3 linked regions of the Nothobranchius furzeri genome follow. The protein of the gene in region 3 purifies or fractionates together with the protein of the main gene of each other region. This does not show direct contact. Links are inferred from orthologs where the notes say so. Each region holds a gene or a part of one and is shown on either strand. Other genes may lie near its edges. The genes, in order: ankrd46b, mc1r and mgrn1b.

The links.
Region 1: the proteins of mgrn1b (region 3) and ankrd46b purify together in Homo sapiens (co-immunoprecipitation; 3 studies listed by BioGRID and IntAct, counting the BioPlex papers as one, with this or other methods). This does not show direct contact. The link is inferred for Nothobranchius furzeri from reciprocal best matches to the Homo sapiens genes MGRN1 and ANKRD46.
Region 2: the proteins of mgrn1b (region 3) and mc1r purify together in Homo sapiens (affinity purification with western blotting; 3 studies listed by BioGRID). This does not show direct contact. The link is inferred for Nothobranchius furzeri from reciprocal best matches to the Homo sapiens genes MGRN1 and MC1R.

What each region holds. Positions count from the first base shown.
Region 1 is NC_091742.1:76,204,660-76,208,414, forward strand, and holds the start of ankrd46b (ankyrin repeat domain-containing protein 46), read right to left. Parts: upstream 2,642-3,755; 5' UTR 2,518-2,641; intron 888-2,517; 5' UTR 856-887; coding exon 545-855; intron 1-544.
Region 2 is NC_091749.1:57,567,686-57,571,147, forward strand, and holds mc1r (melanocyte-stimulating hormone receptor), read right to left. Parts: upstream 2,032-3,462; 5' UTR 1,734-2,031; coding exon 756-1,733; 3' UTR 631-755; downstream 1-630. UniProt on the Homo sapiens protein: Receptor for MSH (alpha, beta and gamma) and ACTH. The activity of this receptor is mediated by G proteins which activate adenylate cyclase.
Region 3 is NC_091745.1:3,806,106-3,809,860, reverse strand, and holds the start of mgrn1b (E3 ubiquitin-protein ligase MGRN1b), read left to right. Parts: upstream 1-1,308; 5' UTR 1,309-1,531; coding exon 1,532-1,619; intron 1,620-2,120; coding exon 2,121-2,239; intron 2,240-2,411; coding exon 2,412-2,500; intron 2,501-2,583; coding exon 2,584-2,730; intron 2,731-3,191; coding exon 3,192-3,309; intron 3,310-3,397; coding exon 3,398-3,464; intron 3,465-3,569; coding exon 3,570-3,613; intron 3,614-3,695; coding exon 3,696-3,743; intron 3,744-3,755. UniProt on the Homo sapiens protein: E3 ubiquitin-protein ligase. Mediates monoubiquitination at multiple sites of TSG101 in the presence of UBE2D1, but not of UBE2G1, nor UBE2H. Plays a role in the regulation of endosome-to-lysosome trafficking.

The sequences.
Region 1 (3,755 bases), on a different chromosome or scaffold from region 3:
CTCTACCTAGCAACTGCCCTGATGATGATGACTGATGATGAGCGAGAAGAAGTCTTAGCCCAACTCACTGATAACACCTAGACACTGACAACTGAGAAAAGTTCAGTAAGTACTGTATAGTACGAAAAAAAGCACAATATATTTTAACTTTATTTTTATAGTCATTTCAAACTCTTAGTCGTGGTACCCTAACCCAAGCTGCCACATGTTTAACCAGTTATGCAGGATAAAGTAGACAAAGGGAAACTGAATCAAAATTCAGCTAGGTATGTGTCAAATCTCACGAGAGAATTTCAGAAGTGTTGTATCTAAAGCATCTTATTCTCCAAACAGCTGCACCGATAATTGGCCACTTCCTTGTGTGTTTGCTTCACTTGTCTTTCCGATGGCCACATTCTGACTGTGGTTTGCAAAAGTTGATTTGGAGGCATTTCCAAATATTCAGAAGGATGGTTAAACGAAGTTTAGTAAAATTTAAGTTGAGAAAGACAGAATAAAAGACAAAGGAACAGAAAAGACAACAGGTTACACTAAAGACACCTACCAGATATCGATCTTCAGCCCGTTGGACACCAGGAACTGTATCGTGTCCACATGACCGCACAAATGCAGCGCTGTATTTCCTTGATAATCCGTAGCTAACAGATCGGCCCCAAACTTGTGCAAGAGGCGGCATATTTCCACGTTCCCGCGGGCGGCAGCTAGGTGGAGTCCGGTGCGTCCCCGGTTGTCCCGGATGTTGGAGTCACATCCTGTCTCCAGGAGCCTCTTGGCGAAGAGCAAGTCTCCGTCAATGCAGGCTTGCAGGAGAGGCACGCTGATCTGCGACGAGTCATTGATGAAGACATAGGACATGTCCGAGTGGGTGTCAGAATATTCCAGCGTACCTGAAAGGACAGCAGGCAAGTTTAGAAAAAATGATGGTGGTGAAAGGCAAAGGCAGAAGAAATCTCTCTTGGCAAACAAACTTGTTTATAACAGCCTGATAGTGGAAGGAGCAAGAGTGGTTTCACACCCAAACCTCATCAAGCAGAACCAGTTAACTGCTCTTCACACACACACACACACACACACACACACACACACACACACACACACACACACACACACACACACACACACACACACACACACACACACACACACACACACACTCATATCTGAACAAACATCCGAGTCACAATCACACCCATCAACCAGTGAACGTTCATAGCGGTCTTTCACCAACGCAACACAGAGGAGTGCAAGTTCGAGCCCTGTCTGTTGCAGTCGTGTCCTTGAGCAAGACACTTGAGTAAATAAAGTTTATTTATACAACAATTACCACAGGGGGAAAAAAAAATCACTAAATGCTTCACAAAGAACAACAAATCTTAAAGTCAGAAAATCATCATAAAAACAAAATAGATGAAAGGTAATTAAAATGAGAAAACCCAAAAGATTTATAAATTTTAAATAAAAGGGTAAAGTCATAAAATTCATCACTTAACCCTCCTTGCGAGTCAGTTTGGAAAAACCATATTTAGAAACTAATATTCTAGACAATAAATTAGTGTTGCAGGGAGCAAAACAAGCTAAATATAAAGAATGGTGGTCGAATATATTTATTTGACTTCACAAGTTAAAGATGTGCAGCAGAGAAAAAGGATCATTTCTGGTTTACAACAAAATAATCTTGAATGATTAATAAATCACTGTCATATTTATCAGAAAGAATGCCAGTGATTGATTATAACGAGTTTTAAGCAAAGACTAGAGGGATTAAGTTACAGGCTTTATTGATGTTTGCCAAAAGGAGATCAGTCATTAGGATGTTTTCTATAGTAGAGGTTCCCACTTCAGCTGACTCAACGTGTTAATGTAAAGCTGAGCTGTGTGTGCACAACTAATCACGCTTGCATCTGAGCATCACAACGAGAATAGACTAAACTGGACGTGTCTTTAATTTAAATATGTACTTTTGAGAAGATCAATTAGTTTTCCATTTTAAGTTCATGACATTTAACCTCCATGTAGGATCTGAAGAGAAAACTGCTGCCCTGATCTTGAAACGACGTGTTTAGTTTTTTTAATCATGCAACCCAAATTAGCTTTTGTACACCCAAGCGGCTGCAAATAAGTATTTTTTCATAAAAGTTCAACATCGAACCATACAGACACACGAAAATTTAAACATAGACTCGTTTGGTGCAAACACAATCTTGTTTTTGTGACGCGCTACGTGCTAACTTAGCTCGTTTTAGGCTAGCTTCCACTTTTACATTGACGCGGAGGAACATTTTGAACATCTTACTTATCATTGCGTTGGGCATGTCTACATGTATCCTTTTATACTTTGTTCGTGGATTGTAAACAAGATTACAATCAACTAACAGCTAAGAAGAGAAAGAGTGGAGGAGTTAGCTTGCGACCTACAGTTAGCATTCATCACAAATACAAAATCCACAAACTCACCCTTTCACACAATCATAAACATTTAGTTTAGACTCCCTTTAAGCTGGAAGTTGTGCCACTAACCTGTTAAAATGTTTCCAATTTAGAAGAAAAAAAATGCACCTCGCTCTGAGATACGCTAACGCTGCTAGCCTGTTGTGTTATCGTTCTGAACTGAAGCTTGTTTGGTGTCTGTCGCCACCTACCGGTGAGACGGTAGTAGAGCAGCAACTCCAAACAGTTTAATCATCATTCATTCTGTAGCAAAACATCTGAATGCAAATATTCTTCATTCAGTTAATCATAAAATGACTGAACCCAAACATGTAAATAAAAAAAAAGCATTTCATAGTTTTTAAAGTTTATTTCAAAGTAAGTGAGAACAAATCTTTCTTTAATGAATCCTCTTTGAGGAAAACAGCTTTTCTTTTCCTCCACTTCAGTCAGTTTACAGGATGTTGTTGAACATAATAGTAATCAGAAACACAGTAAAATAAGTTTCATTCTTAATGATTAAAAAAAGAAGAAGCCATTTTTCAATAAAATTTCATGTACAGTTAAATTTCTGACCTGCTCCTCTCTCAGTAAATGAAACCAGGAAATAGTAATTATTATACAAGTACAAATAATTACAATCTAGATTACAAAACAACAAATACAAACCAAGCAAAACCAGTGAAAAGTGAAAAATGAGAGCTATCAGCAGGTGCAGTGTTCATAGAGGTTACATGCAGGAGTTTTTTAATTGTCCCAGAATTATGGAACCAGTTTCACAACTTTATTGAAAGAAAAAAGAGAAAACTTGATATTTTCATCATTCAAAGGCATAAAATACTAAATGTGTTCCATATTGTTCAAGGACATCTCAAAAACAGAAACAAGCTCATTGTGTTATAAACATTTGCTTTAATGTGCTAAGAATTTTATATTCACATTGACGACCTGTCAGCACAGAGAAGGAGTTTTATTACTTGGGTCATAAGTTTTAGCCCATGTCAGTTTGCATCAGTGCAGTATTGTTCTCAGAAAGGTCCTTATGGAGTTAGTTTAGTGGGAAAAGTGCTATTTTAATGCACATAAGAGTAAAAAGCAGATTTTAATGCTGTATTTGGAGAAAAGACACCATGGATCATGAAATGTACAGACATCACAGACAAGAAAAACACCATAAATGTAACTTGAACTTGGAGCTTTCCTTTTTTATAGATAGTAAGAGAAAATCAGTGACGAGATTGCTTGATTTATGTTAGCAATACTCAAAAATGCAGCAAACAGCACCTTTTACCTTTTAGGATGTAATTATTTATGCTCCTCATGTCCTC
Region 2 (3,462 bases), on a different chromosome or scaffold from region 3:
GAACCACCAGAAACAGAGATAACTTTGGTGGGTTTCCTTTCATAAACGTGTCATGCCATGAGCCTCAGGGCTGTTCATGTGATTTTCTTCTTTTAACATTTTTCTCACCCTCAGTCAGTTCTTATTATTGGGTGGGTGGGGGGTGGGGGGCGGGTGCAACCCGCCTAAAAGACATTGAATGCTTTTTGAAAATGGTTTTAACATCACATCCCAAATCAAACATGTGTTTCAGTATCAATAATTCCTGTTTTTGTCACTGAATTCATTATTTCCGTATTTGGATTATGCTATTTGCTCCAGAATCAATAAAAATGTGATAAAGTAATAGAAATGTAAAACCAATTTCTTTGGAGGCTAGGGAGAAGAGTCAGGACCCCTCTGCTTCTGGAGGACGATGGATGGATGGATGGAACTAATTCTTGAAGTGAAAAGTTCTAGCGAACATGCTATTTTTTCTACTTTTTTATAATTTACGCATGCTTTACGCACTTTACGCATGTTTAGGCTGTACAGAAAAAAAACGAGAAGGAAACAGAGCTAAAATGCGAACATAACACTTAAAGTCTCTGTTTGATCCTTTAAACCTGAGAATTTTTTACAGTGCAGCGCTATTTATTATCTTATCCAAATAAAAATTGCACCAGCTCTGTGATGGCGAAAAGCCTTCATAAACTTTTGAGCGCACCATGGAGCTGCAGGTTATTTAAACACCTGTAGAGAATTTACTCCAAATGTCTACTGAAAACCTCAAGGTGTCACACTCCGAGGCACCAAGAACAGAGAAGCAGCTCCTGGAGGGTTTTACGCAGCTCCTGGCTCCGGTACGCGTAAATGAGAGGATCGATGAGGGAGTTACAGATGATGAGGATGAGAAAAAGGTTGAAGTTCCGGAAGAAACAGTTGCATAAAGGGTTGGTGGGACACGCCAGGATGAGGATGAGGTGGAGGAAGAAGGGGCCCCAACATATAATGAAGACCCCTAGCAGGATGGTGAGGGTGATCGCTCCCTTCATGCTAGTTGAGTGACGCCTGCCTTTATTGAATGCAGTGATGCGCCGCGAGTGCACGTGCGCCAAAAGAAACATGTGCAGGTACAGCACGGCGTTGAACACCAGGGTGATGCAGAAAAAGGTGACGAGGCACACGATGACCGCGTTGTCTGTGTAATAAACGATGAAGAGGATGCTGGAGGTGACACTGGCCAGCCACACCACCGCGATGATGATTATGGCGCGCCGTGTGGTCATGATGCTGTGGTAGCGCAGCGCGTAAAAGATGGTGACGTAGCGATCCGCGGCAATGGTGCACAGAAAGGAGAGTGAAGACACTACCGAGCTGCAGATCATCACGTCGATTACGTTGTCCAGGTGGCGCAACATGCCGGGGTGCACGTCCAGCAAGCCGTGATCGTTGAGAAGCATGAATAGGGTCTCCACCACGTTGCTGACGCTGACGAGCATGTCGGACACGGCCAGGCAGCAGATGAAGTAGTACATGGGCGAGTGCAGGTTGCGATTCTTGATGATGGCCCAGATCACCATGATGTTTTCCACCAGGCTGATGAGTCCAAGCGCCAGGAAAAGTTCCTGGGGGATGCGGATCTGAACGCAGCCGAACGAGTCTCTCTCCCCTACGGTGGAGTTTGTCTCGTTGTCGTCCAGGTAGTGCCCCAGCGGACTGTAGTCCATGTGGCGGATGGAGGGAAAGTGCTGGGAACTGTTGGCCATGTCCATATTTGAAAAACTGAACAGAGTTCAGATTTCAGTGAGGTATAGAAATTTCATTAAAGCAGGGGTCCACATCTGGCTCAGCTGTCTCCCAGTCAACGTCCAAACAAGTGTGAAACTCCTCAGTGAGCCAATTGTCCAGAATCCTTTAAACTTTATTTACATGATGTTCATTTGATGTCCCTTTGCTGTGGAAACGTCTAATCAAGATGGACGGGTCCACGTTAAAAACGCGTCTCCTCGTTTGCTGATACGAAGTCCATCAATAATCCATCCTGTTTGTATGGACTTCCCGTTCCGAACCACCAAAACCCTCAAACCGTCCAGAGCAACGCGGTGGCCGAAAACAAACGGAATGCTTGTTGGGTTTGGGGAATTGAGTTTTTTTTTTTTGAGCAACTGAAGAAGATGCTGAGTGACTTCATCAAACTCCTCCTCCTCCTCCTCCAGCGCAGATCCATTGGACTTTGGTCCTGTCTCAGCGTGTTTTTTTAATGTATTTATTTATTTATTTTGTTGAAGCTTGAATCACTAAGACTTCACTAATTTCTTTAAAATGTTAATATTGTATGAAAACCCCTAACAAAGTGTCTTATGTAAAATTAGTGGTGGGCGTAATGCAATTTGTGTGTTTGCATGTAAAAGCTGTTATTCTCTGTGTCATGCTAGATTAAAAATTAAAGCAGCACACATTAAAACCTCCCGAGACATAATCCTAATCGGGAGAAAAATGTTTAAAATAATTTCATTCTTGAATTTATATTCTTGGATTTTTGTAAACCTGCACTTTCTGCTGCTTGCCTTTATTTCCAGTCATCTCAGAGGTCAAATTGTTCTAAATGCTATAAAAATAGACAATCTGGTGATTCAAAAAGCAGCCAGTCGGACAAAATTTATTTTAATCTGGACTGAAGGGAACTGCTGGAACCTGATAGTCACGCACAACGCTTTTGGGATAAAAAGTCCCATTCTTTAATCTAATTTAAACAATAAGACAAAAACAGCTCGTGTAAATTCAGATTTGATGCCAACATTTAAATGTTATTTGAACAGAAACAAACATGTGTAGATTAGCAGAAAAAAAACAACTAAAAAGTATCACAAATGCATCTGATATTCAGAAAAGAAACAAGACACCGCCAGTATAAGGTGCATAATTTATGAAAATAAACAAGTTAGACATATGTTACACAAAAATAAATTATATTTAGTTGGCATTAATACAATTTTCATTTTAATGCATTAAAAGTGCAATTCAATGAATCTAATTTGATAATTTCTATTAAATTATGCATAATACAGATAGTAATAAAAATAACTGTTTGTGAATGTTTAAACGCGAAATCACAACAATTATGTGATTCAAAGCTCTGCGTTATTTTGAATTTCCTTTAGTTTTTGACAGAAACCCTGCATTGATATTCAAACCTCATCCAAATCATTTTTCATCATCAATGATCAAATACAGTATATCCTGAATCCTCAGCAGCAGTTATGATCACATCCTAAAGTCACCAAAAACAGTAATCTTAGTAAATCTGTGGAAAACTGCTATAGCTCACCAGGCATCCTCTAAGGCCCACACACACACCTCTGTTGAGTGTGAAAGTGTTTTTCTAGAACTGCAGAAGAATCACATGAAAACTTCCTCCATTCTCTGCTGTAGCTCCGGGTGAACAACAACAACGACTTCATTTGGCCACCAAGGACAGTCACAAGCATCATGTGGCTGCAG
Region 3 (3,755 bases):
ATATCATCACCTATTGTCACCCCAGTAACCATCTGTTACCGTCAGGCCAACAGGAGGATGTCCCTTTGGCTGACTGGTTAGCGTGCGTGACTCTCACCTGGCAGTCTGGGGATCGAATCCCGCCCGGGCCCTCGTTTCTCCACCTTGCCACACAAGGAACATTTCTTAAGACGTGTTTCTGCTGTGATTTAGGCCTGTGATGCTGGAAGGCTGAAGATTATCCCGGAGTGGAGAATGCTAAATGGTTTCCTTGGTAAGTGTTGCTGGTTTTATTAATTATTTTTCTAATAATTTTATTAATGTTCAAATAGCATAGCAAACAATAATTTCACACTCAGAAAATTCACACAGAATTTCAGATTCAGCAGAGGCAATAACAGCCTGAATGAGCATAAAGCAAGATCAAAACTTAAGATAACGTTTTCATTATATTAAAATACTTTCTTTTAAGATTATGGATTGTATAAAATTTATACTTTATAAAATATACTGTAATCATTTAGGCTGCGTGTTTATAGCTTGTTTTTGTGCCTTTAAACATGCTTCAGTACATTCAAATTAATCTATTTATTCTTGAATGCCTTTCCACCATCATGTGATTAATTTGTCGACATTTATAAATGTTGTAAGCTATTGTATTTAGCAGAAAATCTTTTTAATTAAATGTAAACAGAGTAAATAAGAGAAACATTTGCTCTGTTTACATAGTTTAACGACATCTAGTGGTTATTTGCTGGTACTACTGCCTTAACAATGACTCTCCCAATGGATAAAATATTAAAAAAATGTCTGATAGAATGTTTAACATACAACACATGACTTATTTTGGCATACCAACCACCAATTTGTAACCAAAGATTAGGCTATGTAAAATGTGAATGAACTTTTATTAGTAACTTTGGTAAGTTTCAGATTTCAATTCATTAAATAACATCGATGGAGGGGGGCCCAAAAAATGCAGCCTGCCTAGTGTAGTCCATTTATTTAATCCGGCTCTGCCTGCAGGAGCCCTACTTGATTCATTTTTTGTGGCTTCTCTCGTTATGCTCGACGTAGCTAAAATGTACAATTTTAGCGTTTCTTCTTTTGTTTGAAACGAGAAGTGAACTTTATGCTTTTAAAGGTGTGTTGATTTTATAAGCTCAATTAATTTGCGCTGGCCTCTTTTATTGTAGGTATGCGCGCCTGTCTTAATTAGCTCCGCACATTCTCCGGCAGATGCCTTTACCTAAAGCAAGCACACTCATTTCCTGGACAAGCCCAGAGACAGCCAATCAGCTCGCCTTCTTGCTACGTTAGCACGTCTCTGGCAAAAACAACAGCTCGAGCCTCAATTTGTGTCCAGTTTCGTTAAACGACTATCGGTTAAACGGAGCTCGGGAAATGTGGAACTAACCACAGCTTTTATTTCTGGTGGGTGCTGTATCTATTTGGATTTCTGTCTAGTCTCACGTCGGGGTTAATTTGATGTGCTGACGCGCTGTTAGCCGCCAGCTAACTGTAGCGAACACCAGCGATCCAACAGAAAAAGATGGGGTCCATCCTGAGCCGCAGGATTGCTGGAGTGGAGGACATCGATATCCAGGCCAACTCTGCCTATCGATTTCCTCCGAAATCTGGTGAGTGATAGACACGGCCACGCGTCGAGACTTAGTTATTTCATAAACAATGACGCGAAGTCGAAGACGCCGACTTCTGTTTTTGGTAATCGGGTTAATAACGTATTGTATGTGATTGATCGTGGACCAGCAGATAAACAGTCTATGAACGCTCGGTCAGGTTTAAATGTCAGGATGTCACATGTTGCTGAAAAATGTCGCGTTTGCTAAGCTGTTTTAATGACTCGAACCCTGTCGGTGAGAGTCAGCATTGTTTATTTGTCACAGAAGTTGGATCTTGTGAAAGTAAAGGTAATCGAAACATCACCTGGGTGAACGAGTAACCCGCATGAATAAATAAATCCTCAAACATTCACTTGTAACCAGTGTGACAGATACACCGGGAGGATTCACTCCACTCCGGCTACTGCAAGGACTCATTTGTAATAAGTGTCTTTCTGCTAAAATCGCGTCTTGCATGTCATGCTTCTGGCACAGTTAATAAACTTATTTTCTCTCCAGGGAATTACTTTGCCAGCCATTTCTTTATGGGAGGAGAGAAGTTTGACACGCCACATCCAGAGGGATACCTCTTTGGGGAAAACATGGACCTGAATTTTCTTGGAAACAGGCCTGTGCAGGTACCAATCAATGCTCGCTTAACTAACGATCCAGCATTATACTATACTATAATGTACTACGTAGGTAGTATATTTTGTACTTGCCAAACACATTTCCAAATCCTCTCAAGAACAGCTTTTATTATGAAACCATTTCAATCTATTTCAGTTGTTTCTCTTTTTGTTTCACCAGTTCCCGTATGTGACACCTGCACCCCACGAACCCGTGAAAACCCTCAGGAGCCTGGTTAACATCAGAAAGGACTCTTTGCGTTTAGTCAGGTAAAGGCTGTGACATAGTATTACATTACCTGCATTTAAAAGTAAACATTTTCTGATAATTTTTCTAAACTTCTTGATTTCAGGTATAAAGATGACTCTGACACCTCAGGGGAGGAGGGTGTAAAACCGAAGGTTCAGTACAGTGTGGAGTTTACCTTTGACGCTGACGCTCGGGTAGCCATCACCCTCTACTGCCAAGCGTTTGAGGAATTCTCCAATGGGATGGCCGTGTAAGCTTTTCACCTTGTAACTCACGTACCTGACACGGTTTGGGTCTAACGGTAACATAGTGAGAGTCCTTTTGTCTGAAACAAAATAAACCATTTATATAGAATCTGTAACATGGTTAGATTTGCTTCTATCTCATGTGTACATCACAGCTGCTGCTATAGTGTGAAGCGTTGTGCCAGAGACACTTAGACTGTGTTTTGTAAGTGGTGAGCTCCAAGCCTCAGAGCACAGAGTCTAGAATAGATGCAGTGGGTCCTTAGCAACGAGTAGTCTCCATGGATACCGCTGATAAGACTGGGATGAAGATGAAAGTTAAAGTCTGTGCTGAAGTTAACATCTTCTGATGAGCAGACGTTGTTGCAATTTTTGTTTTGTTTTGTTTGTTTTGTTTTTTCATATCAGTGCTGATTTCTTCACCGCAGTTAAGGTTTTGTTACAGGATTGCCTTTTGTGGTTCTAGGTACAGCCCAAAAGATCCCACCATGGTCTCTGAAACTGTGCATTACAAGAGAGGAGTGAGCCAGCAGTTCTCCATGCCATCATTTAAAATCGATTTCAGCGAGTGGAAAGAGGAGGATGTAAGTTTAGAGTTTGTCACTACTGCACACAAACACTCCAAATGGGTGTGTGAATTAATATACTATCTTTTTTTGTTTTTCTTTGAAGCTGAATTTTGACCTGGACCGAGGAGTGTTCCCCATGGTCATCCAAGCTGTGGTTGACGAAGGAGACGGTGTGTTAGGATGACTCGTTCATTCTGAAGTCTCTGTAATGGTTGCACAGGTTCATGTTCCACACTAACGCCGCTGGTTGGTTTGTTTGTTTGTTTGTTTTTAAGATTGTCTTGGACACGCTCACATACTTTTGGCAGCATTTGAAAGAGTACGTATGTTTGTTATAACTTAAATACATATGATGTATATAAAGCTTTCATATGAACTCGAACATTTCCTTATCCCTCCAGCATGTTGATGGCAGTTTCTCCGTTAAACCACTGAAGCAAAAGCAAATAGTAAGTTTACTA